Anolis sagrei: one gene and its partner. The protein of the gene in region 2 interacts with the protein of the main gene of each other region in a biochemical or structural test. Links are inferred from orthologs where the notes say so. Each region holds a gene or a part of one and is shown on either strand. Other genes may lie near its edges.

Region 1 (16,609 bases), about 89 Mb from region 2:
GTGCAGCTCCCCATGCGGGGACATGAGAGAAGCCTCCAATAAGGATGGTAACACATCAAAACATCTGGGTGTCCCCTGGGTAACGTCCTTACAGACGGCCAATTCTCTCACACCAGAAACGACTTGTAGTTTCTCAAGTCGCTCCTGACATGACAAAAAAGAAAAGAAGCAAGATTGATTTGTTCTGAGCTTAGAGAAATATACTATTTAATTGATGAGTCTTCACAATAATTGTAATTGGTTTAATGTTTTAATGCTTAATATTTTTGTATCTTATTTCTGGATGATAGTTTGCTTTGTATGATTTTTGTCTTGTGTTTTATGTTAAATGTGCTTTGATTTGTAATGTATTGTGTTGTTCTACCGTTAGGTAGAAAAGCAGAATATAATAAAGATGATATTATTATTATTATTATTATTATTATTATTATTCTGACAGAAAAACACAGTATGTCACAGCAAACGAGATCTATATGCTGGATTTCGTATCACAAAATCACAAGTCAAACACTTCCCAAGTGTTTAGGACTGTGTGATGTATTTTCAAATGATGCACACAGATCCAAATAAGGTGGCCTTTTGCAGTTGACAGATCGTGATTTTGTCAATGTTTATTGTTTCCAAATGCCAGTTGAGATCTTTTGGCACGGCACCCAGAGTGCCGATGACCACTGGGACCACTGTACTGGTTTATGGCAGAGCCTCTGTGGCTCGATTTTGAGGTCCTGATAACGGCTGAGTTTTTCCTGTTGTTCTTCCTCAATGCGACTGTCACCTGGTATGGTGACATCAATAATCCAAACTTTTTTTCTTTTCCACAATTGTGATGTCTGGTGTAGTGTATTCCAAAATTTTGTCAGTCTGGATTTGAAAGTCCCACAGTATTTTTGCATGTTCATTTTCCACTAGCTTTGCAGGTTTATGATCCCACCAGTTCTTTACTACTGGCAGGTGGTACTTGTGACATAAGAGTTGTGTCTCTGTTTGTAGTCTATCTGTGTAATTTTCTTGCAGCAGCTGAGGATATGATCAATGGTTCTGATGGCTTCCTACTGGGCTGCACAGGCCCGTAGCCAGGATTTCGTTTTGGGGGGGGGGGGGAGGCTAAAAAAAATTCAGGGGGGCTGAGTTTCGGGGGGGCTGAGTCTGAGTGAAAGAGGGTTTACCCTAGCAAACCTTTTGTATCATTACTCCAATACCCCCATGCATATGGGATATATTGAGTATGGTGATCAGATCATGATATGAATAAACATAACAGTTTAAATAATGCACCAGTAAGGCCTTTTCGCGAACCACCATGAGAATTTGGGGGGGGGGGATGAAGCCCCTCAAGCCCCCCCCCCCCCCCCCCGGCTACATGCCTGGGGCTGCAAGAATCAGGCCTTCCACCTCCTTCTTCAGGGTTCCATTCATGAACCATAACCAGGTCTTCTCCTTATCAACTTTTCCTTCAATTTTGTAAAGGAACTGCCCATGCAATACTTTGTTGTGCCAGCTGTCAGCACTGGTTTGTAGTGCAGTTTTCTTCTACTAATTCTTTGTCCACTGTGCTTGGAGACGTTTCCCATTATTGATTTCAATTAAAGCAGGTTTTTGGCTTTCTATTACATTTTCTGCCAGGGCATGTTTTTCTTCTTCAATTGCTTGTTTTACTTGTAAAAGTCCTCTACCTTCTAGGCAGACAGAGCCAGTCAACGTCACTGTGAGGATGTAGTGAATTATGAATGGTCATGAGTTTTCTTGTTTTTCTGTCCAAACCGTCCAGTTCTGCCTGCGTCCAGGTTATGATGCCAGCAGTATATCTTATGACAGGTATGGCCCAGGTGTTTATGGCCTTGATGGTATTGCCTCCATTGAGTTTGCTTTTGAGAATTTTTCTGACCCTTTGAGTGTATTCTTTGCTGACCAGTTTTCCCATGTTCGTGTATGATGTTGTCCAGCTGTAGTATGCCCAGATATTTATAGGACTCTGGCTGGTGACACTTTATCACTTGGCCATTGGGCATATTTATGCCCTCACTTTCAATGATTTTTCCCCTCTTCAGTACCACTGTCGAACATTTGTCCAATCCAAACTCCATGTTGATAACAGTGCTAAAGATTTAAACAGTGTTAGTCAGAGACTGGATTTCAGTTTCGGATTTCCCATACAGCTTCAGGTCATCCATGTACAGCAGATGTGAAATTTTGAGAGATTTCTTAGACGTTTAATAGCTGAGGTTTGTTTTTTGTAAGATTGTTGACAAAGGGATCATGGCAATGATGAAAAGCAGTGGGGACAATAAGTCTCCCTGGAAAATTCCTCTCCTGAGGTTGACAAGTCCATAGCTTTCACTTCTAACATACAGTTCAGTTTTCCAGAACTTCATCACATTTTCAATAAAAGTGCCAGCATTTTTACAAATCCTGATGGTGTCTAGGCACATGATGATGATGATGATGATAATGATGATGATGATGATTAGACCCAGCTACACTAGACCTACAGAAGCATAAATGCTGCCCTTCTGTGTTCTATTGATCAATTGAGTCTATGCCAATTGGCATAGCCTTAATTATATTGCTGTCTACTTTTCTCACCCCCTTTTCTTCCTTCTTGCCCATCACAAGAGTAGGTTACTCATACCTAAAGGAGATACTCTGTTGGATACCAGTCTCTGCTTCTTTACAAAGACTGCTTTACAAGCATTCTTTCCCAATCGTAATACATTGTAATACATTACAATAATTTATCATATATAAACCCCACTTGCCAGTTTTACAGCACAACTCACAATCTCTGAGGATGCCTGCCATAGTTGTAGGTGAAACATCAGGAGATAATGCTTCTGGAACATGGCCATACAGCTTGGAGAACTCACAGCAACCCATTATAATACTATTCAAAGACATAGCAGTTCTACTCTGTATCAGCATAAAATTATACCCTCAAAATCTGCAGCACTTTTGGGACTGAGAAAGAGAAATGCTAGTATAAGCTTTCATGGACTTGTCCATTTCATCTGATACAAGGTTTTGTGCATCTGATGGTTTCAGTGTAAATTCATGAAAGCTTATGTTAGATTTTCTCTCTCTCCAGCCAAACTAGTCTGTAAGGCCATTTTGAATTCTGATCCTGTCCTCTGGGGTATTAGCTATCTCAGATGGAAAGGATGCTTGAAAGGGCTACTAAGGCACATTAACTGTACACAGAAAGAGTCAGCAAGAACTAAGAGCAGACTATGACTCTGGGAGACCAAGGTTTGAATCCTTGCTCCACCTTGGAAAACCACTGGGTTGCTGTGAGTTTTTCAGTCTGTATGGTCATGTTCCAGAAGCATTCTCTCCTGACGCTTTGCCCACATCTATGGCAGGCATTGTGAGGTCTGTTGGAAACTAGGCAAGTGAGGTTTATATATCTGTGGAATGTCCAGGGTGGGAGAAAGAACTCTTGTCTGCTTGAAACAAGTGTGAATGTCGCAATTAGCCATACAAAATCTGGCTACAAGTATTTAAAAAACCCTCTAAAATCAGGACAGTAAATAAAGAACTACACACACAAAAGCAAAACAAAACAAAACAGGGGAATTCCAGACAAGAATCAATCAGGGCCAGTTAACAGCACCCAACAACGGATTCCCCCAGGCAGCAATCAGCCAGGCTTTGCAGCTACAAGGCAATTATGTTGTCGACTATCGGCTTCAATTACATGCAAATCAAGGTGGCCAATTGCAATATTCACACTTGCCTCACAACCTCTGAGGATGCCTGGCATAGATGTGGGTGAAACGTCAGGAGAGAATGCTTCTGGAACATGGCCATACAGCCCGGAAAAATCACAGCAACCCACTGGGTGACTTTGAGCAATTCCCACTCTGTCAGTTAGAGAAGAGAGCAGTGGCAGCCCCTTCTGAACAGTTCTTCCCAAGGAAACACTGGAATAGGGTTGTTTGTCTTAGGCTAGTCATAAGTTGAAAATGATGAAAAGGCATACAACCACAAGATGAAGCCTTACAAACTACTACTATGTATGTGGTTGTCATGGTGAGAGCTTGTGCTTCAGATTTTACAATGCACCCTTGCCATAGTCTGTGCACTACAGCTATTTTTATAGCATGCTGATCTATCTGGATCTCTATGCTCTCAGGCCACCAAACAGCCTTACCCTCCATAGAGAGGTCTTGGGGCCTTCTCCAAGGAGGCTGTGTGCCCAGGGCAGTGCTCAGGTGGAGTGTCCTCTTGTGTGAATTCGCCTTCCTTCACCTTGTTTATGTGGCCCTTCAATACCTGTGAGGTGCTGAATGGAATTCCAATGCTCCCAGATATACAAAATTAACTTTTTAATTGTTGTAATATGCATTGTTTTTGAAAATAAACTGCCCGTGCCATATATTGCTTCATTTCTAAGTGTAACTTCAGAGTGATGAGAGAATGCGTCTGTTGAGATATCACTAACATGTCTTTTAAAAACAAACATAAGAAAATGCTATGTATTATATCAGTAAAGTAACTTCATCCCCACTTGCTCTATTACTTTGGAAATGTGACTCACCTATCCCTAACATAAAGAATTTGGAGTAACTGGATTGCTTATCATGTGTTACTTTCAAGCCCTGGGTTCCCTGTACCCTCCAAATGTCCTGATTTGGCAGGGAGAGTCCTGTTTAATCCTCTGTGGTCTCATTTTTTTGAGCTGTTTTTAAAACGTCCCAGTTTCTCTCTGCAGTGTGAAAAATTTGGGACACGGATGGAAAATTCCATTTGGTGGGGCACATTTCTTCATTTGAGGTGTGAGAACTGCCTTCATCCTTCTTCCCCCATAGTTGCAACATGCCCTTCAACTGTCTTGATTCAATGTATTGTCGAAGGCTTCCATGGTTGGAATCACTGGATTGCTGAAGCATTCACTCCTGACGTTTTGCCCACATCTATGACAGGCATCCTCAGAGGTTGAGGGGTCTGTTGGAAACTAATAAGTGGGGTTTATATATCTGGAAAGTCCAGGGTGGGAGAAAGAACTCTTGCTTCCTTGAGGCATGTGTGGATATTGCAATTGGCCACCTTGGTTAGCATTTAATGGCCTTGCAGTTTTAAGGCCTGGCTCATTGCTGCCTGGGTGAATTCTTTGTTGGGAGGGGTTAGCTGGCCTTGATTGATTCTTGTCTGGAATTTCCCTGTTTTTTTTAGTGTAGTTCTTTATTTACTGTTTTTAAATACTGGTAACCAGATTTTGTTAATTTTCATGGTTTCCTCCTTTCTGTTGAAATTATCCACATGCTTATTAATGTGTATTAAAAAAAACTCTAAAATCAGGACAGTACATAAAGGGGAACACTCAAAAAGCAGGGGAATTCCAGACAGGAATCAGTCAGGACCGGCTAACACCTCCCAACAAAGGATTCCCCAAGTCAGCAACAAGCCAGGCCTTGAAACTGCAAGACCATTAAATGCTAATCAAGGTGGCAAATTTCAACATCCACAAGCAGACAAGAGTTCTTTCTCCCACCTTGGACGTTCCACAGATATATAAACCTCTCTTACCTAATTTCCAACAGACCCCTCAACCTTTGAGGATGCCCTCCATAGATGTGGGTAAAACATCAGGAGAGAATGCTTCTGGTCCATGGCCATACAGCCTACAAAACATATAGCAACCCACTGTCCTGATTTGACTGGGATAATCCTAATCTGTCACTCATATTTTCAGCTGGTTTAGAAATACCCAGTTTCTTTCCCCTTCTCCCCCTTTCCCCCTTTGTCCTCAGCCTACTTTAGACCCTGAAAACTGAAATACAAAAGTAGTTTGGACTTGGTTAACTTGGCAGGTGAGGGAGAGAAATATAGGGAGCAGAATCTTGCCATTCCTAGAAGGCTTGGGCAAAAGTAAACTACTGCAGGCTCTCCTTGCTTTTGTCTTCTTTCTCATTAATAACTTTTGGCATTGTAACCACACTCTAATGTTACTGGGCCACATGCGAACTGGTTTATTTGTGTTGAAGGGTATGTCCTCTTTGGAGTGGTACCTGGGGAGTTGCAGTACTGGGGTTCTGTGCCAAAAGTTGAGCTTCTGAGGAACACTGTGGCATCACCCTCTTTGGTATATGACTGCTCGGGGACATGTCCCTGCTACAAATTCATGGGCTGCCTCCACATATGGGTGTAGGGAGCATGTAGGCATCATTGCCAGCAGTCTCTCATTGGAAGACCATAGTGATATTTTCAGAGATGATGTCTGCCCTTTTCAAATGTTCTTCAGGGTATCTTTTCATTACTCTTCCCAGGCTGAGGGCATAGACTAGAGCAGTGTTCCTCTACCTTCCTAATGCCATGACCCCTTAATATAGTGCCTCATGTTGTGATGACCCCCAACATAACATTATTTTTGTTGCTACTTCATAACTGTCATTGTGCTACTGTTATAAATTGTAATGCAAATATTTGATATGCAGGATGTATTTTAATTCACTGGACCAAATTGGGCACACATACCTGATATGCCCAAATTTGAATACTAGTGGGGTTGGGGGGGGGGGGGTTGATATTGTCATTTGGGAGTTGTAGTTGCTGGGATTTATAGTTCACCTACAATCAAAGAGCATTCTGAACTCCACCAACAATAGAATTGTACCAGTCTTGGCACACAGAACTCCTATGACTAACAGAACACACTGGAAGGGTTTGACCTTGAGTTTTGGAGTTGTAGTTCACCGATATCCAGAGAGCACAGTGGACTCAAACAATGATGGATCTGGACCAAATTTGGCACGAATACTCAATATGCCCAAATGGGAACAGTGGTGGAGTTTGGGGGAAAATAGACCTTGGCATTTGGGAGTTGTAGTTGCTGGGATTTATAGTTCATCTATAATCAAAGAGCATTCTGTACCCCACCAACGACAGACTTGGGCCAAACTTCCCACTCAGAAACCCAATGACCAACAGAAAGTACTGTGGTTTCTGATGGTCTTTGGTGACCCCACTGACACCCCCTTGCGACCCACCCAGGGGTCCTGACCCCCAGGTTGAGAAACGCTGGACTAGAGGGTGTAATGGCTGTTCCACTGATATAAGGGCATTGCATTTCTCCACTCCCTATGTTATAATATAGGATTATTCTGTAGATTTCAATGAATGTAAGTGTGTGTGTATGTCCATGAGCATGAGAGAAAGATGCACAAGGAAAATATAAAGATGTCTCTTGGGTGAGGGGAGGAGGCCAGTTTTCCACAGAAGTGCAGCATGCTCTGATACTTGAATGCTTTTACGAACAAGGGATTAAAAACACCTCCTGCAGAGATATATTCACAGTTCTATTCATTCTGTCCCTCCCCATATTTAGGAAACAATGAAACTCTCCCCCACCCATCCCTGTCCATTGTTGAGGAGCATTTGATGCTATCTATCCCCCTCCTCCTTTCCCCACCATCTCTTTCCTGTTTTGTTGGAAGGAAAAATGTCCTGCTTTCTTTCGTTATTTTTTCCAAAGTCCCCAAATAGCACTGGAAAGAAATACCTCCCCTTTGCCCATCCCCTGCGCCACCCCCAAATATAACTCTTTCTCTGTGTGAATATATACATTTATGAGATGTGTGTCACATCCTATTCTGTTCCTTTGGATATTAGCATATTATTCTTTCCTAACTATGCAAGGCTACCCCCCCCCCCCTTGCCAGAAAGCATCACCACCCAGTCCCGTCTCTCATAATAAGCCATCCATGGCCCCCAACTCACCAGCCTCGTGTCCTTCGGCTCTTCAGCTGTAGCAGCCGCTGAGGAAAGAAAGCCTGCTGAACTAGAGTAAAAATAGACCCGGCAGTTACTCAGCTCTTGAGAACATGATGATATGACTCATGAGGTAAAATAAAGAGACGTGAAAATCAAAAGCCTTTGCAATACATCCTTCCCCATCCTTAAGCTTTATCACACTCCACTCTCATCTCCATGGAAGATCCTGTTGTATCTCAGCTCAAAGGAAAGAGGAATTAAAATGACTCAGATGATGCTGAGCACCCAGTTCCACACCCCCAGGTGCAAAAGGGAATCTCTACTTCTAAAATATATTCATATTTGTCATGCAGTGTCTGCTTTACTTCAGTTTCCATATACAGTGCTCCTTCGCTACCTCGCGGTTCGCTTTTAGCGGACTCGCTGTTTCGTGAGTTTTTGAAATTATGAATATAAAATATAAAATATGTACGTCCAGTGGAGGGCAGGGACCTCGGAAGTGAGGTGGCCTGAGGTGTGGTGGGGAAGATCGGCCTCCCTGGCCTCCACAGACCCCAGAAGTGCGGCAGCCTGAGGTGCAGCGGGGAAGGCCTGCCTCCCTAGCCTGCTGCCACCTGCATGGATCCAGAGGCTTTGCAGGGATCTGTGGAGGCCAGGGAGGCAGGCAGGTGCCCTTGGGATGGGCCGGGAGGTGGGTAAGGAAGCGCAGACAAGAAAATAATATAGAAAATAATGTATAAATATTGAAATTAATCTGGTGTCCCTACGCAGATTTTCACTTATTGCAGAGGGTCCTGGAACTTGAACTCCCGCAGTAAGTGAGGGAACACTGGATTCCCATTTTGAGGTAAGGGAGTCCTATGGAGACCCTTTATGTTCTTCACCAATAGTGCATGGGGCTGGGAATGAGACCATAAATCAATTCAGAGGCCCATTTAGGCTCCATCTACACTAAGAGTAGAGACATCACACTGGCAATGAGGATCCACATAGTTTGTTGGGGTTTTTTTTCATGTCAGGAGCTACTTGAGAAACTGCAAGTTGCTTCTGGTGTGAGAGAATTGGCTGTCTGCAAGGACATTGCTCAGGGGACACCTGGAGGTTTGATGTTTTACCATCCTTGTGGGAGGCTTCTCTCATGTCCCCGCATGGGCAGCTGGAGCTGACAGAGGGAGCTCATCTGTGCTCTCCCTGGATTTGAACCTGCAACCTGTCAGTCTTCAGTCCTACCGGCACAAGGGTTTAACCCATTGTGCCACCGGGGCTCCATCCACATAGTTAAAGCAATGGTATTCCGCACCAGCCAATCCCTCTCCAATGCCAGAAATACAGCTTAATGGTGTAACATTAGAAAATATTGACCATTTCCGCCACCTCTCTACAAAAGTCAACATTGTCACTGAAATACAACACCGCTTGAGCTCTATGAGTGCAGCATTTTTCCAAATGAAGCAGAGAGTGTTTGAGGACCTAGGGATACCAAGGTGCTTGTTTATAAAGCTATTGTCCTCCCAACCCTGCTATATGCCTGCGAGACGTGGACGATCTACAGACATCACATGCAACTCCTGGAACGATTCCATCAGCGTTGCCTCTGAAAAATCCTGCAAATCTCTTGGGAAGACAAGCGGACAAATGTCAGCGTGCTGGAAGAAGCAAAGACCACCAGCACTGAAACAATGGTCCTCTGCCATCAACTCCGCTGGACCAGTCACGTTGTCCGGATGCCCGACCACCGTCTCCCAAAACAGTTGCTCTACTCCGAACTCAAGAATGGAAAACAGAATGTTGGTAGACAGGAAAAGAGATTTAAAGATGGGCTCAAAGCCAACCTTAAAAGCTGTGGCATAGACACTGAGAACTGGGAAGCCCTGGCCCTTGAGAGCTCCAACTGGAAGTAGTGCTGTAGAATTTAAAGAAGCACGAATGGAGGGCAAAAGAAAGAAACATGCCAAGAGGAAAGTGTGTCAAGCCAACCCCAACCAGGATTGCCTTCCACCTGACAACCAATGCCCTCACTGCGGGAGAACATGCAGATCAACAATAGAGCTCCACAGTCACCTACGTACCCACCGCTAGTACACCAATCTTGGAAGACAATCCTACTCGGACAATGAGGGATCACCTAAGAAAGTAAGTAATTCCCCATAGTAACCTATGGATTTGAGAGCTGGAACATAAGGAATGCTGAGTGGAGGAAGATATACATTTTTGAACTGTGGTATTGAAAGAAAATTCTGAGAGTGCCTTGGACCACGAGAAGTTCCAACCAGTCCATACTCCAGGAAATAAAGCCTGACTGCTCACTGGAGCGAAAGATATTAGAGGCAAAGATGAAGTACTTTGGCCACATAATGAGAAGACAGGAAAGCTTGGAGAAGATAACAATGCTGGGGAAAATGAAAAGAAAAAGGAAGAGGGGCCAACTAAAGGCAAGATGGATGGATGTTATCCTTGAAGTGACTGGCTTGACTTTCAAGGAACTAGGGTTGAAGATGGCCAACAGGGAGCTCTGGCATGGGCTGGTCCATGAGGTTATGAAGACTTGAAAGTGACTGAACAAATAAACAACAAACACTGACCATTTAATGCAGCTTGGAATCAGATTTACAACACAATGTTGTGAAGCTGCAGCACGCTTCAAGTCCTTTAAACAGAGATAAGCAAAGTCAGAGGATATGTTAAAATAGAGCCTGTAATGTGCATCAGCACACTCAAGGATAAATGATATTGCATGGTGAACGTGACTCCATAGAATGTGGATCATTGTGTGGTTACCCAAAGCATTCTACTGATATGCACATGCACATTGCTGCAGAGGGAGTGAGAAAATGAACCACATTCTCTATGGCTGCCAAGCCGTAGATACTGTAATTGTTGGGACCAGTTGGCTACCCTCTGTGGTTGCTTCACTGCCACCTGGGCTTCAAACCTGTTGCATAGAGGTCAGTCTAATAATTCTCACAGTGGAATTAGTTTCTGCTATTCCAATTTGGAACCAACCTAAGTGTAGATGTGCCCAGTATTAGCACAGTGATCTTAGTTCTCACTCTGCAAAAAAAACAAGGAGAGGTCAGAGGTAGTATGTACTTTACTGTCTTTGTGCTGTCTCTGAGTGCATCTACACTTTATAATGAATGCAGTCTAACAACACGTTAACTGCTATGGCTCAATGGTATAGAGGGACTATAACCTATGGGAGTTATAGTTTTGCCGGTTCTTTAGCCCCCTCTGACAAAGAATGCTGGGATCTCGCCAAAGTGCAAGTCTTATGATTGCATAGGCTTGAGCCATCGCAGTTCATGTGGCATCAAACTGCATTCATTCTTCAGTGTAGATGGACCTCCCGACCTCTAGAGTCAGAAGCATTCATTACTGCCAACTCATTCTGAGAGTAGAATGAGAAATCCCTTTGAAGTTTGCACGAGCATGTGGTCTCTTGCACATATGTAGGTGTCCCTCATACAATATTCCTCATTCTTCTACAATCCCTACTCAACTGCGTGCTGGAAATTGATACATTCATAGAAAGAGAGAGAGCGAAAAACAAAGACTGAAACTATGCTCACTCTCACGATGACTTGAATCAGTTTGTAACCATGTGTTCCCCATATATGGAGTGGTAAACCTAAAGTCTCTTTGGAAACCCAAGGACTTGCTTAGAGACGCCGTGGTTTCCCCTTCATTCCTTTCAGTTCCTCTTCTGTGTATAGCAAATGACCTTTTGCTCCTGGTTCTCATGTAAGCTGACCATTCTGGGACCTTGTTGGTCAGCCCCCTATTTCTCATAGTACTTCACTTGTTTAGCTTATTTTCTACACCTTTGGGCTGCCAAGAACACAATTGCAGCTTCTATTTAGAACCAGTTGGTAAACTGGCTGCGATTTCTGAGAGTTGTAAGCCAAAACACCTGGGGACCCACAGGTTGAGAACCACTGATTTAGAGTTACTCTTGTTTCTGGAACCACCGGCCCTCCAGATGTTTTGTACTATAACTCCCATGGGCCCTGGCCATTGGTAAGGCTGTCCAAAGCTTGTGGGAGTTGTATTCCAAAACAAAGATAATAATAATAATAACAACAACAACAACAACAACAACAATAAAATACTTTATTATCATCTCCCCAAAGAGATTCGGAGTGGCTCACGAAAACACACACAATAGTGGAGCAGCACTCAAAATACAACAAGGTACACAAACATATAAATCAATAAGACTGTGGATATAAACAGGCTGTGTATAGTAACAGTCCCATAAAGTGCTAAAGCGAATCAATCACTAGGTCCTTGGGTTTAGTTATTAAGGTACTAATCATGGTCCAAAAATGTTTTCAGTTGTGTCCGGAAAGCTTGGAGAGTGGGGGCTAAGCCAGGGGGCCACCACCAAAAAGGCCCTTTCTCTCATCCCCACCCACCAGAGATGGGGTGGGACTAAGAGGAGGGCCTCTCTGGCAGATCTTAGAGCTCGCACCAATTCATTAAAGGAGATGCGGTCTTGAAGAAAGCGTATAGGGCTTTATAGGCACTAACCTGCACTTTGAATTGGATTTGGAAACTTGTTGGCAGCCAGTGCAGCTACATTAATAGGGGTATAGTATGCTCCCTATTATAAGCCCCAGTTAGTGATCTGGCTGGCAACCTTTGCACTAAATGCAGTTTCTGAGCCGTCTTCAAATAGAGTGCATTGTAGCAGTCCATTATAGATGTCACTAAGGCATGGACCACCATGGCCAAGTCAGGCTTCTTGAGGTATGTTTGGAGCTGGCGCACCAGTTTTAACTGTGTGAAGGGATGCTATGATGCCACTGGAAAAAAGAAGATACAGCCATGTGAAAGAAAAAACCCCAGAATGTAGCATTTAAAATGCATTCATCATACCAAATATATACCCACATTTAGAAACCAAACCAACTGGACATCTTTCTTTATATCAAGGAGTAATACTGAAAGCTCTGTTAGACACCACAGTTTTAACCAGTTTTCAAAAGGCCGTGACAAATGTGCCACGCCCAGACATCTTATTTAACTCAGTTTTCCCCAAGCTAGCACTTTCCAGGTGTGTCAGACTACAATTCCCATCAGCTGGGGGTTGTTGTCCCACCCATTTGAAAACTACTGAATTGAGATAGGCTGTGTAACTTCTGAGATCCTTGCATCACTATGTTCCTTCACCAGCATTTTTGTCTTGCTATAGATACATCAATGAATCCTCTCTCCTTCTGCATTCTTCCCATTTGTCAAAAAGTTAATGACTATAATGAAGCAAGATGAAGTTTTGCTCATTGAATCTGTATGAGAGAATAGAGAAGTGCATCACTGCAGAAGTCTAGTGGAAGGGCGTGTGAGCATAGTATCAATGCAATGGCACTCATCTTTTTAAAAACACAAACTGTCCACAACACACATGTCAAAGTGTGCTCCTACGTCCTCTCCTTGCCACCCCCATGGACCCAGACAAAGTGGCATCTCTAAAGACAAAAGGTTTCAATAGCTCTCCTGGCCTCTGCCCTCTCCAAAACAATGCAAAATCAAGGAATATTGTCCTCGGCTCAATAAAAGGCTCTAAATATAGCGCGTCTGATGTATTCTTGGTTTCCTGCCCGTCGTCATTCCCCTCCCGCCGTCCTTCTCCCTGCCACTTTGTCACTGATTTTGCAAACTTAACACAAAGAGGGTGAGCTCACCACCAAGACCACCTCCTCCTCTTTTCCCTGTGATGAGGCAGAGGGGATTTCCATGGTTTTGTCCCTCATGCTTGCAAAGCCAGAGGTGGGATGTTGGAGTCGGGGTAGGGGTAAATGTCAGGAGGCATGCATGCTGAATTGGGGGGTTATTGGGTTGCAAACAGAGAGCCTTTCACTCCCGGCTTCCTCTTGCGCCCACTGCTCATTCTGGACCACCCACAGCGCCCTGTCTATGCACACTGGATATTAATGCTCTACTCTGGGATTCCCATTTCATTCTGCCAAGCCACACTTGTCCTTTATTTGTTTCTGACAAATTGGATCTAGCATAGACCTTGAGAAAGTTGCTTTCTTTTGGGCAACCACTCTCAGAGGGGGAAATTGTCTGTGGGGATTCTGGGATTTCCCTTGGGTTTTGTTCAAGCATAATAGATGCTGGGGCATCCAGGCTGCCTGCTTGTATTGAGCTGAGCTCAGTACCAGATCAGGTTCTCCTGGGTGTAATAGCAAGGGTACAGGTATTTGAAGTTCACAGTCTGCATGGGGCAGAAACCATTAGGCCACACCTGTTCTCAGAAATGACAGGAGGAATTAGTATATGTTGTCTTTGCAACTAGACAGTGTGCTGCTGCCACAACTGATATAGTAAAGCTGCACTTACCCCTTTTCCCAATGATTCACCCATGGAGGCTTACTAAGCCTAGTGGCATCACTAGGGTTGGTGTCACTCCTGAGAACCTCTTCCCACATTGGACCATACCATAGAGCAGTAGTTCCCAACCTGTGGTTGGTGGACCACCAGTGGTTCACAAGAACTAAAATATGGTCCATGGCCTCGCTGTTGCAACAAGAGCAACTGGTCTTACAAAACTCTCTTATAGTGCCAAAGCTTATTAAGTATGGGTTTCTGCAGGCAAGCAGATGGCAACTAGTGGATGGCATATGTTCTGTATCAGAAACTAGAGCTTATGTGGTCTATCCAATTCAATTTTCTGAATCAGCACCCCAAATAACCAAACCAAATCTATAGTTGACTGAACTGATTGATAACCCTTTTGGTACTAATGTGAGAGAGTAGTCCCTGGTCAAGTGGACCCTGGTCAAAGTAGTCCCTGGTCAACAAAAGGTTGGGAACCACTGCCATAGAGGGAGAGAAATTGTAGGATTTCTTGGTACCTAATGCATGGTATAATGTTACATGACTTAGCAAATGGACCTAATAGATCTTATCCCTGAACATCAATTCATTAGTTGGGCTAATAAATGAAGATTTATATTTGCACATATTGTATATTTGTTCTGAAGCCAACTTCATTTAAATGGGTATTTTCTTCTGTGGATTATTTGTTACGCGATTAATCAAGAACACACATTTTAAAGAGGCTTTAACTGATCAATCAAACTGATTAAGCAGCTTCAAGTAATTCTACATTAATCACTCAAAATAAAGCTCTACTGATTTCAAGATGTTTGAATTCCAATGAGATAACCAAGTATAGGGTTGCAGTTTTAAAAATGTAATCTTATATTTCAACAAAAGGATCGTGGATAGATTTAGAACATGGGCATTTTATGTGTGAATGCATAGTATAGATTCAAGAAATAAATGATGAATTTACTGTCTGAGGAAAATGTAGTTTGCAGTAAATTGTACACTAGCAAAAATGAGAGTTTTCTTTAGTTGTTTTTCTTTAGTTCTCAGAATCCTAGGGGCTTCAGTCCAAGATATACAAAATAGATATATTTGTAGTTATATCTATTTGCTCAGGTGTCTGTTTGGTAAGTAATCCACCTTGTTGCTAAAGATATGGTGGATATGCAACAAGGGGTTGTGCTGCTGAACTGCTGACCTGAAGGTTGGCAGTTCAAATCTGCGGGATGGGGTGAGCACCCACTGTTAGCTCTAACTCCTGTCAACCTAGCAGTTTGAAAACATGCAAATATGAGTAGATAAATAAGAATTGTTTGGTGCGAAAAAGCAAAAAGACACTCCAAGCAGTCTTGCCAGCCATGTGACCAGGAGGTGACGATGCAGGCTCCTTGGCTTAGAAATACAGAAAAGCACCTCCCTAAGAACCAGAGATGAGCACTGCCTCCAGAAGCCAGAAATGAAAGGAGAAGCCTTTGCCTCATCTGTGTTTGTGTGTCTCATTGTATGTGAGTATACAGCGGACATGTTTGCCTATGTCCGCTGTATACACTGTAATCTGCTCTAGGGCAGAAGGGCAGAGTATAAATAAAGTGTGTTGTTGTTGTTGTTGTTGTTGTTGTTGTTGCTGTTATGGTCATATGCCTTTTGCATGGTGGAAGGTAGACCAGGCCTGTAGCCCTTATGCTTCTACAACTCATGTTTATCCTAAGTTGGTCATATAATATGTGACAGACACAGCCTTATTCCAAGATCATTCTGAGATTGTTTGCACAAATAGATATTCTGCTTTTTTATAGAATTGCTTAGAAAGGCTACTTTTTTGGGCAACATTGACTGGGAAATTATGTTTGCCTTTCATAACTGTTGAAAAGAGTTTAAGTTTGTGTGTTGGCTGCTGGTATTGTAGAATAAGATGGTAGGCATGGTCAGAGAAATGTATGAAGCTTGAATGATAGATGTCTATTGTTGGATAGAGAAATTTAGATATGAATAGTGACTAGTAGAAAGAATGACAGTGGGATGTACTATGGGGATGCTATGATGAGGACACAGAGGATTAAGATATCTGTGAAGTCAAGAGACCAGTAGGGCTGAGTGCTAAAAAGTGAGGTGTTGTGTACACAGGCAAAGAGAATCTGCTTCAACTTGCATTTTCCTGTTATGTAGTGGCCATTTCAACACCACACACATCCTTATTAAATCAAAGGGAGAACAGCATTACCAACCATACAGTTCCTCTATTCGAGCTCACTTTAGTATTAAAGAGCAGACCTTGGCTTTTCCGGGAAAAAAATGTTTTAAACTCAGATGTAAGCCCTTGGGGATGTAAAAGAATCAAATCAGATTCAAATCTCCTGTTATGCCAGCACCAGATACAAGATGAGTACTGTTCCCCCCTCCCATATTGACAACTATGTAAATGTTGATTGTAGACCAGGTTAAAACCACTTATTAAATAAATGAAAAGATCCGTAAACACATTAAACTGTATTTAGTAAACACGTATTACTTGTTCTACATAAGAATACCCACCTGGTCACTATAATTGTTTTTTTAGAGCAAGGTT
Region 2 (16,228 bases):
AGTGGTGATCTTAATGCAGCTGACTCCCAGTCCTGGTGTGATGAAGGATTTTTCTTCCCAAAACTCAACCCAGACAACTTTGTGAAGTTCCACAATTTATAAATAGATTTCCTAACTCTTTTCTCCTTTTTCTAAACCTTTTCTCCTTTTTCTAAACCTTTTCTCCTTTTTCTAAACATTTCAGGTGATCATCTATCATCATAACCTGGAGTTAGAGGGTGCCATCAAGTCCTTGTATGGGATGGATGCCCATCCTACCTGTCTGGACTACAAGGCTCATCATCCTCTGCCAGCCAGGTCAATGGTCAGGGATGATCTGCATGAGAGTCCCCAAACACTGGAAGCCTTTAACTCACAAAGTCAGATTTACAGCAGTATTAACTGCCCTGGAACTTGAAAATTTGTAGTTTGGAAAGGGAGGAGATCCTTGTTTTATCACAACACAAATACTAGGGTTCTATATAATGGTGCTGCAGGTAATTAAGTGGAATCACAGCGCTGTAATTGTGTCATGTGGAAGAGACCTTCACCTGGGAGCTCCAGCTTCCCATACAGGGACATGAGAGAAGCTTCCCACAGGGTTGTAAAACATGTCCTTGCAGACGGCCAGGAGCGACTTGCAGTCTCTCAAGTTGCTCCTGTTTGGTGAATCCAGACTTCCATCCCTAGAGAAGACAACAGAGGACCCTTCCAAACAGCCCTATATCCTTGCAGACAGCCAATTCTCACACACCAGAAGCGACTTGTAGTTTCTCCCAGGGCCGTAGCCAGAAAAAAAATTCGGGGAGGGTTGAAAATTTCGGGGGGGGGGGGGGGTTGAAACCTGCCTCCTAGCTCACACTGAAGCAAAGAGCACAGCAGGGGGCAGAGCAACCTTCCATAGCCTGCAGCTCCACCCCTGTCAACCACCTCCACCAAGTCTGGCCTCCTTAATGAGAGCATTCAACAGATGCACCCCCAACTTGGTTGCTTTGCTACATTGGCTATTGCTGCAAGTAATGACAGTGTGAATAAATTGTCAATATTTGCTTGAGATAGTGCTTACAGTTCTGGAGGAACTCTTAATTTTTTGCATCTCATAGACTTAGCATGGGGATTTGGTTAACCAGTTAAAATTCACGAATAAACCAGGTTTTTTAAAAAAAAAAACTGAAACATTTGGGGGGGGGGTTTGAACCCCTAAAACCACCCCCTCGCTACAGGCCTGGTTTCTCCTGGTTGGAGAATCCAGACTTCCATCCCTGGAGAAGACAACAGAGGACCTTTCCACACAGCCCTATATCCCAGAATATGAAGGCAGAAAGTCCCACAATATCTGCTTTGAACTGGGTTATCTGAGTCCACACTCAGATAATGTCGGATTTTCTGCCTTGGTATTCTGGGATAAAGGGCTGTGTGGAAGGACCCAAGGTCCTGACGTGTGAAATATCTGTGTGTATCACAACATTTCCTCCGACCTTACCACTTCTTCATTACTACTCTTACTACACACTAGCGAACACACATTTTGGTGCCTCAACCATTAGCCTTATTTCATAGGATTGAGCCATAGCAGTTAGCAGTTCTGATTTATTTCTTTGTTGTTGTTGCTGCTGTTGTTGTTCACTGGCTAGCATACATTTTAGTGCCTCAAATATTAGACCTGTTTCTGGGTATGTTTGACGGCTGATTCCAGAACCATAGAATCCTAGATTTGGAAGAGACCTTGCCAAGAAGCCCTGCCAAGAAGCAGGAAAATCGCGTTCAAAGCACTCCCAATAGATGGCCATCCAGCCTCTGTTTAAAAGCCTCCACAGAAGGAGACTCCACCAGTCCTCCCATCAACTCTAATTTTTGAGATAATAGAACATACATGTCATATTGGGGATCCCTCCTCCCATCACCAACTGCCGCTCTGGGCCATTATATTATATTATATTATATTATATTATATTATATTATATTATATTATATTATATTATATTATATTATATTATATTTTAGCATAGCACAGAGTGTCTCCTGTGCTATGCTAATAATATAATATAATATAACATAATATAATAGCATAGCATAGCATAACATAACATAATATATTGTATGTTGTTCATTCGTTCAGTCGTTTCTGACTCAACGTCATGGACCAGCTCCCTGTCGGCCGTCACAACCCCCAGCTCCTTCAAGGGAATATATTGTGTATACATATAATATTAATAATATTAAAATATAATGCAATATAATTATAAAATGATATAATTTTATATTCATATTACATATAAAATTACTAATAATATTACATTATAATGGTATAGTATAATATTGTAATATTTAATACTGATATTATACTATGCTAATAATATATTGTATGTGTGTGTGTGTATATATATATATACACTACACACACACACACACACACACATATATATATATATATATGTGTGTGTGTGTGTGTGTGTGTGTGTGTGTGTGTAGTGTATATATATATACACACACACACACATACAATATATTATTAGCATAGTATAATATCAGTATTAAATATTACAATATTATACTATACCATTATAATGTAATATTATTAGTAATTTTATATGTAATATGAATATATATATTGTAAGTAGTTCTGAGTACCCTTAGGGGTGAGAAGGGCGGCATAATAATAATAATAATAATAATAATAATAATAATAATAACTTTATTTGTACCCCGCTACCATCTCCCCAAGGGACTCCGTGCGGCTTACTTGAGGCCAAGCCCAACAACACATCAACAAACAAAAGCAATAACAAAACAAAACAATACAATTAATATAAATCACATAACCAAAAAACCAAACAATAAATCAACATATAAATGTCATAAATAAATAAATAAATAAATAAATAAATAAATAAATATACCAATCTTCTGGCTCATAGAAAAGCATCATAACAATATCTGATGCCACACAACTGATTCCCCCCCCCCCCCCAATGGCGCAATGCTCCTTGGCAGAATCAGGGAGAGCGGGTTGAGCTCCCTCTGTCAGCTCCAGCTCCTCATGCAGGGAAATGAGAGAAGCCCCCAACAAGGGTGGTAAACACATCAAACACCTCGGTGTCCCTGGGCAACGTCTCTGCAGACGGCCAATTCTCTCACACCAGAAGAGACTTGCAGTTTCTCAAGTCACACACACACACAAAACGGATGTTGTCTATCCCTGCCATTTTCTGAATCGTTGCCTTTAAAGAACCCTGGAACAGGTCTAACAACCAAGACACCAAGAAAAGCAATAGTAGTAGTAGTTCCCCACTTTCCTCTCTTAAAGGAGACCCACTGGTGATCCTAGCTTGATCGGGACAACCCACAAAGCCGCCTAGATATTTGGGTTAGGGTTGGATGGCAAAGGATGCTAAGCCAAGCTTTTCCAAAGGAGTGGAGGCGCAGAAAGCAACAAAACAACAGCACCCACCCAACGCTCTTCAAGGTTTTCTTCCTGGGATTGTTAGAGCTTAATCCCAGGGCTAAGTTTGGAGGAAACTGGGGGTTCTTCTTGGATATTATCCAGTTGGTAGCGGTATTATTCCATCCAAGATGTGAGAAGTGGGGAATCCAATCCCTCTCCCAGTTTCCACGGCTTCCTCTGGAAAACACAAGGGAGCAGAGGGACTGTCTGCCAAAAAATCCCAAAAATCAAGAGGTTGTTCTCTTCGTCGCCCCCCAAAAGTGAAATTCAAAATCGATGGTTGGGAAGAGGAAAAACACTACATCCGTGCGATACACTCCACGCAAGTTTGAGACGAAAAACCCTCTCTTTGCCCCAAAGCGGAGGACCATCAGGGAAGGAAATCTTCTAAAGATGATGGTGATAAGAAGAATAAAGTTTTTTTAAAAACCACGCAAAAGGGAGATGATCCAATCCGACGCCGTGGGGAGTTTGGGGAAGGGGTTGTTTTGCTCCTCTCCTTCTCCGACTCCCGACTGGCTGCAGCTTCAGAAAAACTCCCGATTTCTCCAAACAGGGGGTGATATATCCCGGAACAAAATGTCACGTCGGGGGTGGGGTAAGAGGGGGAAAGGGGAGGGGCGCGAGGGGAGTGGCTCCGAGGGGGCGGGGCGCCATTCAGCACCGACGGCCGAGACAAAGAGGAGCCCCAAACAGCGGCGGCGTCCTCAACTAAGCAGGGGATGGTCAATGTTGCGCAATGGAGAGATTTTTTCCCCCCGGAGCGTTTCCTTTTCTTTTCCTCCCTCCAAAAGGCAACCACTGCAGCGTTGGCAGTGCCAGGCGCCCGCCTCTTTCCACGGGCCGCCGTTTGCCCAAGTCTTCCAACCTCCTCCCACGCTTTCCCTCCTCGGAGCCAGGCTCCGGTCCCAGAAGGAAACGTCCGCCTCCCTTCTCCCCCTTCTTCCAACCCCGAAGTTTATACTGACCAAGTTGGAACTGGAGGGAGAGGGGCAGTTTCATCCTGGCTCCCTGACCCCCCTCGGTGTTGAAATGGACGGGAGGAGAGGGAGAAGAGGGAGGAGAAAGGTATAGCAAGGAAGTGTGTGTGTGTGAGAGAGAGAGCGAGAGAGAGAAGAGAAGAGAAGGGAAGGGAGAAGCGAAGGGAGAAAGGAAGGGAGAAAGGAAAATGGAAGGGAAGGGAGAAAGTGGAGAGAAGGGAGAAAGGGGAAGGAAGAAGGGGAGAAGAGGTAAGGGAGAAAGAGGAGGGAAAGGAGAAGGGAAGAGAGAAAATAAGGAGAAAGGAAGGGAGAAGAGAAGGGAAGGGAGAAAAAAAGAGGGAAGAGGAGGGAAGGGAAAAAAGAAGGGAGAAGAGGGAAGGGAGAAAGGGGAGGGAAGAGAGAAAAGAAAAGGGAAGGGAGAAGAGAAGGGACAAAAGAAGAGGGTAGGGAGAAGAGAAGGGAAGGGAGAAAAGAAGAGGGAAGAGAGAAGGGAAGGGAGAAGAGGGAGGGAAGGGGAGAAAGGAAGAGGGAAGAGAAGGAAGAAGGGAGAAGGGAAGGGAGAAAGAGGAGGGAAGAGAGAAGGGACGGGAGAAAAGAAGAGGGAAGGGAAGTGAGAAGGGGAAGGGAGAAAAGAAGAGGGAAGGGAAGAGGGAGGGAAGGGAAGGGAGAAAGGAAGAAGGAAGAGAAGGGAGAAGAGAAAGGAGAAGAGAAAGGGGAGAAAAGAAGAGGGAACGGAAGTAAGAAGAGAAGGGAAAAGAGGGAATGAAAGGGAAGAGAAAGGAAAAGAGGGAAGAGAAGAGAGAAAAGATAAGGGAAGGGAGAAAGGAATGGAAGAGAGAAGAGAAGAAAGAGAAGGGAGGCAGGACCCATCTACCCTGGCTATTTGATAGACTCCGAGCTGCGGAGATCTGACAACAAACTCCCATTGAAGTGCACGAAAGAATAATCGCCACTAGGGTTTCTAACGGGTCCCGGGGCTTCCTAGGGAATAATCGGTATAGTTCCTTCAACACTGCATCAGTGCAGAAAGGGCCGGGGGGGGGGGGCAGACTCCCCCAAGCCCTCCACCAAAGATTCCCTCCGGATGGGGGACTGAGGGGGACTGAGGGGGGTGTCTTTCCCTTCCTCCCCTTCCCCCCCTCCCCGCCTCTCCAGATCTCCTTCTCTGGCAGTTTGGGGAGGAATGCCCCTCCGCCACCGCCGAAGGATCTGGTTGTCATTAGCCCAGGCGACGCGGATCGGCTTGGCGTTACTCCCCTTCGGAGCCTCCTTCTGACGAACGAGACAGGCAACGGGAGATAGGAATAAATAACTAAAGTTCAGACCTCCGTCCCCTTGTTTTCCCCGCACCTCTTCCCCAAGCAGAGGCTGGAGCTGGGACCAAGTACGGCGCTCCTCTTTCCCTTTCGTCCAGCCGATTGCTCCCCCCCCCCCTTCAAAGATCGACCCTCTGTTTCCCAAATCCCAGAGTTTCTTCTCCTCTCCTTGAGTTGGGAGGGTGCGGGGGAGGCTGCCTCCGAAGCTTACCTTTCGGCCTTCAATTCAAGCGCGGGTTCATGCTCCTCCGGGCCCGTCTCCCTCTGCTTCCCCCCCCCCCTTCCCCTCCTCCTCCCCCTCAGAAGCGGAGCCCCGTAATTGATTCAAGGCGAGCGCCCATCCTGCCCCGACGGAGCCTGGGCTTCGAGGGAAGAAAAGCGCTGTCAGGAAATGAGGCGCGCTCCTCTCTCTCTCTCTCTCTCTCTCTCTCCCTCTCCTCCGCCTGCCGCCCGCTCCGCCTCCCTGCCAGAATAAGAGCCTCCCCGCTCGCCTTTTGGGGCTCCGGGCGCCTCGGGAGAGGGGGGGAGGGGGGCTTTTACGCCGCAGGAGAGGGACCCGGGCGCGTGTGGGGCCGGGAGGGGAAAGCCCCGGTCTCCCCCAGTTGGGGATGAGCGATGGGGAAAGGGAGAGCCGGGCCAGATGGCGGCAAGGGCGAAAGATTCTCCCCCCCCCCCTCCTCCTCTCCTCCGTCCCAAATGGTCCCAATTTCGTGCATGAACACAAGTCCCGTCCCCACTCCCTCATTAAGGGAGGATGGTGGGTCAGGCTCTCCCCATGGAAGGAGATGGAGGGCTGCTCTCTCGGAGGAGGAGGAGGAGGAGGAAGGCTGCCCTGGGAAGGAGGCAGCTGCGGGAGCGCTTCTTAGGAGCGCGCTCTGAAACCGAATTATTCCCCAATCAAAGGGGAAAGAGGGGACTGGAAAAGTGGGATTTGGGGAGCCTTTCCTTTTGTGACTGGACATAATTTCCCCCATGGATTGAAGTCAACATTGACACTGAAATACAACAACGCCTGAGCTCTGCGAGTGCAGCATTTTTCCGAATGGAGCAGAGAGAGTTTGAGTACTGGGACATCCGTAGGGATATCAAGGTGCTTGTTTATAAAGCTACTGTCCTCCCAACCCTACGAAAGGTGGACTGTCTACAGAAGTCACAGAAGTCACATGCAACTCCTGAAACGATTCCATCAGCACTGCCTCTGGGAAATCCTGCAAATCTCTTGAAAAGACAGTCAGCGCTCTGGAAGAAGCAAAGACCACCAGCACTGACGTGATGGTCCTCCGCCATCAACTCCACAGGACCAGCCTGATGTCCTGATCCCCGACCACCTTCTCCCAAAGCAGTTGCTTTACTCTGAACTCAAGAACTGAAAACGGAATGTTGGAGGACAGGAAAAGAGATTTAAAGATGGGTTCAAAGTCAACCTTAAAAGCTCGGCATAGACACTGAGAACTGGGAAGTCCTGGCCCTTGAGCGCTCCAGCTGGAGGTCAGCTGTGACCAGCAGTGCTGTAGAATGTGAAGAGGCATGAATGGAGGGAGAAAGAGAGAAACGTGCCAAGAACAGACACAGCGAACTGGGAAGCCCCAGCTGGAGGTCAGCTGTGACCAGCAGTGTTGTAGAATTGGAAGAGGCACGAATGGAGGGCAAAAGAGAGAAACGTGCTAAGAATAGACACAGAACAGGAAAGCCCTGGCCTTTGAGCACTCCAACTGGAGGTCAGCTGTGACCAGCAGTGCTGTGGAGTTTGAAGAGGCATGAATGGAGGGCGAAAGAGAGAAACGTGCCAAGAATAGACACTGAGAACTGGGAAGCCCTGGCCCTTGAGTGCTCCAGTTGGAGGTCAGCTGTGACCTGCAGTGCTGTAGAATTTGAAGCAGCATGAATGGAGGGCAAAAGAGAGAAACATGCCAAGAGGAAGGCTCATCAGGCGGGACTGCGGGAGAAGATGCAGATCAAGTATAGGGCTCCACAGTCACCTAGGGACCCACTGCACACTGACCCTGGAGGATCATTCTACTCGGGCAAAAGTAAGTAGAGTGAAGGCAGTCCTGTCCCGGACAGAGAAGGAAAGGCTTCAAAAGACAAAGAGGGGTTTGGCTTCGATCCGAGTCGAGGAGGAAATAGTGGACACATTGGTGTCTGTCCCTGCTTTGTCTCAAGAGAAAGAAGCCTCCCGAGTAGCGAAAGAGGCGCTCTCCTTCATCGTGGGGTGTCTGTACTGTGTTGTGGGCGTCATGGTTTTGGGGAGAAGGGTGCAGAGACTTTGAGGTGGGAGCTAGAAGAGGCTGCGCTTCATTTTCGCAGGAGGAGCGCTCCAGATCTCGGCATTTCCCCGGCGCTGTTCCGCTTCAGAGGCCAAGGGGGCGCCCCGAGTCCAGGAAAGGAAAAAGAGGCGCCCAAGAGGAGGAGGGGGAGGGGGAGGGGGGCGCTTTCCAGATCCATTTCGAGGCGCGCGCTGGGATTAGAAAACAGAAACAGCTACGATTCCTGGAAAAAGGGAGGGCGAAGGCCTATTGGGGTCCTGGGACCTTCGTGTCACCCCCCCCCCCCTTCTGCCTATGGTTCGGTTCTGAACACTTCTTCCCTCGACAGCTCCAGCTCCTCATGCGGGGACATGAGAGAAGCCTCCCACAAGGATGATCAAACATCAAAACATCCGAGCATTCCCTGGGTAACCTCCTTGCAGACGGCCAATTCTCTCACACCAGAAGCTACTTGCAGTTTCTCAAGTCGCTCCTGACACGACAAAAAAAATATGGCCAGAATCACTGGGTTGTGGGTTTTTCGTGCATCCAGAAGCATTCCCTCCTGACGTTTCGCCTACATCTCTGGCAAGCGTCCTCAGGGGTTGTGAGGTCTGTTGGAAACTAGGAACATTGGGCTTCAATATCTGTGGAATGGCAATTGAAACATTCACACTTGCCTCAAACAACAGACAAGAGTTCTTTCTCCCACCCTGGACATTCCATAGATATATAAACCCAATGTTCCTAGTTTCCAACAGACCTCACAACCTCTGAAGATGCCTGCCATAGATGCAAGCGAAACGTCAGGAGAGAATGCTTCTAGAACATGGCCATACAGCCCGAAAAACCTACAACAACCCAGAGAGAGACTCTGTCCTTTTCTCAGTATGGAGGTTGGGATCTAATCGGGGAGAACGGGGTGAGTTCCCGTCTGTCAGCTCCAGCTCTCCATGCGGGGGACATGAGAGAAGCCTCCCACAAGGATTTTTCTTTTGTTGTGTCAGGAGTGACTTGAGAAACTGAAAGTCGCTTCTACTGGGAGAGAACTGGCCGTCTGCAAGGACGCGTCAGGAGCGACTTGAGAAACTGCAAGTCGCTTCTGGTGGGAGAAAACTGGCTGTCTGCAAGGACGTTACCCAGGGGACGCCCAGGTGTTTTGATGTTTTATCATCCTTGTGGGAGGCTTCTCTCATGTCCCCGCATGAGGAGCTGGAGCTGACAGAGGGAGCTCGTCCGCACTCTCCCCGGATTCGAACCTGCGACCTGTTGGTCTTCAGTCCTGCCGGCGCAGTGGGTTAAACCCCTGTGCTGGAGCCCCCAGATGTAAAACAAACATCTGGGCATTCCAGGGAGTGGGGTGAGCTCCCATCTCTCAGCTCTTGCTTCTCATGCCTCCCACCGGATAGTAAAACATCTGGACATTCCCTGGGCAACGTCCTTGCAGACGGCCAATTCTCTCACACCAGAAGCGACTTGCAGTTTCTCAACACGAAAAAAAAGGGAGGGAGATTTCACCTTCCTCCCTGTACTCTCCAGATGTGACATGTTGGCCCCTCTTTGGGGCAGTTGGCTAACCCCCCTAAACATCTGGAAATGTGGAGGGAGAAAGGCTTTCGTGGTTTGTATTTGTAGCCTTCCAGTCGTCCACCCAGTCCTCCGCTCGCCCTCTCTTTCGGGGTTCTTTCGGGGTTCCAGCCCCCTTCGTTGCCTCCACCCAGCCTCCTTGGTTCAGCCTCCAGCCCCCTTCGTGGGGTCGCTTTTCCCCTCCCGCATCTCGGGCTGAACGCGCAGCCCGGACTATTGCTTCCACATGTTCCTTCAGGAAACCTTTGGAAGGGGGGAAAAAACCCCTCTGAACAGCAGCCCCCTTGTTCGGAATGCTAACAGGATACCGTATTGCTTGGAAAAGACTCGCAGGCGGCCACGAACAAGGGGAACATGGCCCTTTCTCGGAGTTTGACTATCGCTTTAAAAGATTATCCAGGAAATACATGGGACTCGATCTGCTGCCCCCCTTCTTGTATACTGAATTCTCGTTGGGATCCGAAGGATTGGATGGAGGGGGGAGTGGGAGTGGAGTAAATAAGGTTTAGAACAGCGTTTCTCAACCTGGAGTGTTGTTTACTAAGGAAGTCATGCTTACCCCTCTATTCTGCCTTGGTTAGACCACACCTGGAATATTGCGTCCAATTCTGGGCACCACAATTGAAGAGAGATGTTGACAAGCTAGAAGGCGACTAAAATGATCAAAGATCTGGAGAACAAGCCCTGTGAGGAGCGGCTGAAAGAGCTGGGCATGTTTAACTTGAAGGGGAGAAGGCTGAGAGGAGACATGATAGCCATGTATAAATATGTGAGAAGAAGGGAAAAGGGAGAAAGCTTGTTTTCTGCTGCTCTGGAGACAAGGACGTGGAACAATGGCTTCAAACTGCAAGAAAGGAGATTCCATCTGAACATCTTCCTGACTGTGAGAGCAGTTCAGCAGTGGAACACTCTGTCCCGGAGTGTGGTGGAGGCTCCTTCTTTGCAGGCTTTTAAGCAGAGACTGGATGGCCATCTGTAGGGGTAATTTGAGTGCAATTTTCCTGCTTCTTGGCAGGGGTTGGACTGGATGGCCCATGAGGTCTTTTCAAACTCTATGCTTCTATGATTCTAGTGGAGTTCAGAATGCTCTTTGATTTTAAGTGAACTATAAATCTCAGCAACTACAATTCCCAAATGTCAAGCTCTATTTTCCCCAAACTCCACCAGTGTTCACATTTGGGCATATTGAGTATTCGTGTCAAGTTTGGTCCAAATCCATCATTGTTTGAGTCCACAGTGCTCTCTGGATGTAGGTGAACTACAACTCCCAAACTCAAGGTCAATGCCCACCAAAACCTTCCAGTATTTTCTATTCGTCATGGGAGTTGTGTATGCCAAGTTTGGTTCAGTTCCATCGTTGGTGGAGTTTAGAATGCTTTTTGATTGTAGGTGAACTATAAATCCCAGCAACTACAACTCCCAAATGTCAAGCTCTATTTTCCCCCAACTCCACCAGTTTGGGCATATTGAGTATTCGTGTCAAGTTTGGTCCAAATCCATCATTGTTTGAGTCCACAGTGCTCTCTGGATGTAGGTGAACTACAACTCCCAAACTCAAGATCAATGCTCACCAAACCCAGTACTTTCTATTGGTCATGGGAGTTCTGTGTGCCAAGTTTGGTTCAGTTGTGAAGTAGCAACAAAAATAATGTTATGGTTGGGGGTCACCACAACATGGGGAACTGTATTAAGGGGTTGCGGCATTAGGAAGATTGAGAAGAAGCTGATCAAGGGGGCTTTTGTTGCCAAAGAGAAAGAAGACAGAAGAAGACAGGGAGATGAAGGTCAGAGGGAAGAAGAGCAGAGAGAGTGGGAAGGAGAAAGGGGGAGAAGAGCTTCTTCTGGTTGTCATTAGGAGCCTGATTTGAATAATGCCTTTGTTATGATGGAGGAAGAACTTGGGATTGGATGGAGGACATGAAATATCCCCTTCTGGTGCAGATGGATAAGGAAGGGGATCCAGAAGCAGAAGGACTGCGGGTGAGCATGAGGTCCTCCTGCCCATCAAAGAGAAAAAAGAAGGCTGGATGTATCACTTCCAGAGCTTGGAAAACTTCTGAGGCTACAGCTCCCAGAACTATAAACTGCTCAGCTGTCATCCAAAAAAGGAGAGCAAAGCTCTGAATCAGAAAGCAGATCAGGTCAAGTAGCAGATGCCTCTGAAAGGACCTTACAAAGCCAAGAAACACTGCCTTATAAAGGACAGACAGACCTACTATCTCTCCAACACATGCAAAAGATTCACATCATGGCCCTGGGTGTTGTTTACTAGGGAAGTTATGCTACCCTTCTATTCTGTCTTGGTTAGACAACACATGGAATATTGTGTCCAATTCTGGGCACCACAATTGAAGAGAGATATTGACAAGCTAGAAGGTGACTAAATTGATCAAGGGTCTGGTGAACAAACCCTATGAGGAGCGGCTTAAAGAGCTGGGCATGTTTAGCCTGAAGAAGAGAAGGCTGGGAGGAGACATTATAGCCATGTATAAGGTTGCAATTAACAGTGAAGAAGATTGCTACAGGTCTCAACAATCTAAGTACAACATCTCTTCTGATATACTAGATTGTATACATTGATTTTGATTCAATTAATTGTCCACTTCATCCATTGCTGCAGGTCTTGGCAATCTAAGGACATTTCTTCTAATATACTAGATTGTATACATTGATTGTGATTCAATTAATTGTCCACTTCATCCAAGATTTTTTGTGATTTTTTAAAAAAGTTCTTGTAAATTCATTCATCAACCAGATATTTCTGAATTAGCTTTTGTGCAGATAATGTTTGACTGTCTTTCAATGGGGAAGAATTACTACATTTCAGTTGAAAGGAGATGTTGACAATCTGGAATGGATCAACTAAAATGATCAAGGGTCTGAAGAACAAGCCCTATGAGGAGAGGCTTAAAGAGCTGGGCATGTTTAGCCTTCAGAAGAGAAGACTGAGAGGAGACATTTATAAATACGTGAGAGGAAGCCATAGGAAGGAAGGCGTAAGCTTGGAACAATGGCTTCAAACTACAAGAAAGGAGATTCCACCTGAACATTAGGAAGAACTTTCTGACTGTGAGAGCCGTTCAGCAGTGGAACTCTCTGCATCGGAGTGTGGAGGAGGCTCCTTCTTTGGAAGCTTTTAAACAGAGGCTGGATGGCAATCTGTCGGGGGTGCTTTGAATGCTTCTTGGCAGGGGGTTGGACTGGATGGCCCATGAGGTCTCTTCCAACTCTGTAATTCTATGATTCTAGTGGAGTTCAGAATGCTATTTGATTGTAAGTGAACTATAAATCCCAGCAACTACAATTCCCCCAAACTCCACCAGTGTTCAGGTTCTGGGTGGTTTAGAGATGGCTTAAATAGACCTGACTTGCTCATTGTGAGGTCTAGTTAGTTACCCATCTGCAAAAAGAGAAAGCCCAATATCCCCCAGCCCCTTTTCTCCATCTTATGAAGGCTCTTTGAACTCTTGGTGTTGTTGTAGGAGAAGAGTCCGGATGCCTCCTCTGTGTGGTCCTTGCAGGGAAGATGGCGAGAAATCTCCCCCCTCCCTCTCTCCCCTTATTCCCCCTCTTCCCACCCCCCTTCCTTATCTAGGTAACGGGGAGTTGACAGAAAACAGGGAATATTGACACCATATGTGCCCTTGTTGGAAAGCCTTTGCCCTGGCTCCTCTCTCTGTCTCTCTCCCACAAACAGACGGGTCTATTGGCCATTTGCTGGGAGGGGCGCCCCACTGAGTTGGAGTCAAGCGCCACGACCCCCGTCCTCGCCCCCTTGCCCATCCCATTGTGCTCAGGAGACAGCCAGCAAAGCTCACAACGACTGGACTGATCTGTGATCAATGAAGTGTGGTTTTGGGCCCCAAAGGGAAAGTGCCACTGGTTGTGGGAGTGGGAAGGCGCCTTCGTGGGCAAATGGGAATACAAGAAACCCCTGCAAGGATTGTGTGGAGTGGGGAGCTGGAAACGCATCTCTTTGGATGCTCTTGTTCTTAAGACAACAAGACTGGAGAGGCATTGGATGTTTGGGTTGTTGTAGGTTTTTTCGGACTATATGGCCATGTTCTAGAGGTATTCTCTCCTGACGTTTCGTCTGCATCTATGGCAGGCATCCTCAGAGGTTGTGAAGTCATAAATGCAGGTGAAATATCAGGAGAGAAGGCTTCTAGAACATGGCCATATAGCCCGAAAAAACCTACAACAACCCAGTGATTCCGGCCATGAAAGCCTTCGACAATACATTTGATGTTTTTTCGTGGGCTCTTCTACACTGCCATATAAAATCCAGATTATCTGCTTTTAACTGGATTATATAGCAGTGCATGAGTTTATGCTGGAGTATATTAGTTTACGCTGTTATATAATCCAGTTCAAAGATAATAATAATAATAATAATAATAATAATAATAGATTCCATCTGAACATTAGGAAGAACTTCCTGACTTCGTTCAGCAGTGGAACTCTCTGCCCCGGAGTGTGGTGGAGGCTCCTTCTTTGGAAGCTTTTCCCCAGAGGCTGGATGGCCATCTGTCAGGGGTGATTTGAATGCAATATTCCTGCTTCTTGGCAGCGGGTTGGACTGGATGGCCCATGAGGTCTCTTCCAACTCTTTGATTCTATTAATAATAATAATAATAATAATAATAATAATTTATATTCTGCAGTGTATGAGTTTACACTGGATTATATGACTTTAGCTGCTATATAATCCAGTTCAAAGCAAATAATAATGATAATAATAATAATACTAATAATAATAATAGATTCCATCTGAACATTAGGAAGAACTTCCTGACTGTGAGAGCTGTTCAGCAGTGGAACTCTCTGCCCCAGTGTGTGTGGTGGAGGCTGCTTCTTTGAAGCTTTTAAACAGAGGCTGGATGGCCATCTGTCAGGAGTGCTTTGAATGCAATATTCCTGCTTCTTGGCAGAATGGGGTTGGACTGGATGGCCCATGAGGTCTCTTCCAACTCTTTGATTCTATGATTTTTTTAAATTATTATTAATAATAATAATAATAATAATAATAATAATAAAACTTTAATTATATTCCGCTCTATCTCCCCAAAGGGACTCAGGGCGGATTTCAAACCTAAAAGGCAAACATTCAATGCCCGAATACAACAACAATACATCCATATTAACAAAATGTATCCATCCCAACATATAAATATGAATTAACAAACTAAAATTAAATAAAAAGCACAGCATGTTATAACAGATACAGATACATACTCTGGATTTTCTACTTTGCCAATATGGATTAAATGGTAGTTTAGCTCCAGCCTCATGAATTTATATGAATACACCAATATTTTCCAGAATTTAACATAGGATCAGATCCTTCCAGGGAATTGGAGTATCTATACATACCTACACAGCGATTTCATGGATTTCTGTGTGACCATACAGCCCAGAAAACTCATAGCAACCCAGTAATTCTGGCCATAAAAGCCTTCCAACACAATAGTTACCTTGTTTCCAAAAGGTACCAAATCCATCTGAACCATTTTTTACAAGAATTGGTTAAAAGGCATTGAAGATGTGCATTGTTTTGCTACAAATTGCGATTTCTCAAGTCGTATACTAAAGTGATTTGATCTAGGTTGTTGTAGGTTTTTTCAGGCTATATAGCCATGTTCTAGAGGCATTCTCTCCTGACGTTTCGCCTGCATCTATGGGGTCTCACTACCTCTGAGGATGCTTGCCATAGATGCAGGCGAAACGTCAGGAGAGAATGCCTCTAGAACATGGCCATATAGCCCGAAAAAACCTACAACAACCCTGTAATTCTGGCCATGAAAGCCTTCGACAATACATTGATTTGATCTATTTTGATAGTTTTGATCTGCACATAACATTCTACTATTAGCCAACAATCTAGAACTCTTTTTTTTTAATTTGGGGGATTCTATACCTTTTGGAAACACATTCCACCTATAGAAACAGGCAGCCTTACTCCTAATTGCTTCAATTGCTACATAAGACTATAAAGAGATACTCAATGATCCAGCATGGTGTAGGGATTTGAGCGTTGGGATGTGACTCTGGAGATCGGGGTTGTAAACTAGGGGCAAGTCACACTCTCTCAGCCTCAGAGGAAGACAAAAGCAAACCCAGTTTGAACAAATCCTGCCTAGAAACCTCCAAATATGTTCTCACAATCCAGAAACTAAAGGCACACAATAACAGTGAACTCAATAGGGTTTAGATCTTAACAGACAGGAGTATGCTGTTAAACTACTGAAAACAAGGTGGTAGACAGTGGGTCCTTCCAAACAGCCCTATATCCCAAAACATCAAGGCAGGAAATCCCACATTATCTGAGTGTGGACTCAGATAAACCACTTCAAAGCAGATATTATGGGATTTTCTGCCTTGATGTTCTGGGAAGGGTCCTAAGACTTCACCTTCCATACAAGGAAGGGAAATAAATTTGAAATTTTAGAATAGAAATTGCTCCACACTTTCTTCCTAATGAAGGCATTTGGGGCTGCAGTCGAAATCCATTCAATCGCCTCTAATGCCCAATTCATAAACTGTTCCAGAAGTGTCTTCTTTGGGGCAAAATTCGTTCATTTCTTATTTTGATACTTTAGGATCATCGGGAGAAGTAATGCACTAATGTATTACTTCAAGCGACTGAACGCTTGTATTTCTAAGACATTTTGGGAT

What was found.
Region 1: the proteins of PDGFRA (region 2) and PDGFB form a complex in vitro, tested with the Homo sapiens proteins (3 studies listed by BioGRID). The link is inferred for Anolis sagrei from reciprocal best matches to the Homo sapiens genes PDGFRA and PDGFB.

What each region holds. Positions count from the first base shown.
Region 1 is NC_090025.1:163,470,934-163,487,542, reverse strand, and holds the start of PDGFB (platelet-derived growth factor subunit B), read right to left. Parts: upstream 7,925-16,609; 5' UTR 7,714-7,924; intron 1-7,713. UniProt on the Homo sapiens protein: Growth factor that plays an essential role in the regulation of embryonic development, cell proliferation, cell migration, survival and chemotaxis. Potent mitogen for cells of mesenchymal origin.
Region 2 is NC_090025.1:74,380,927-74,397,154, forward strand, and holds the start of PDGFRA (platelet-derived growth factor receptor alpha), read right to left. Parts: upstream 6,154-16,228; 5' UTR 5,932-6,153; intron 3,961-5,931; exon of another isoform or gene 3,431-3,960; intron 1-3,430. UniProt on the Homo sapiens protein: Tyrosine-protein kinase that acts as a cell-surface receptor for PDGFA, PDGFB and PDGFC and plays an essential role in the regulation of embryonic development, cell proliferation, survival and chemotaxis.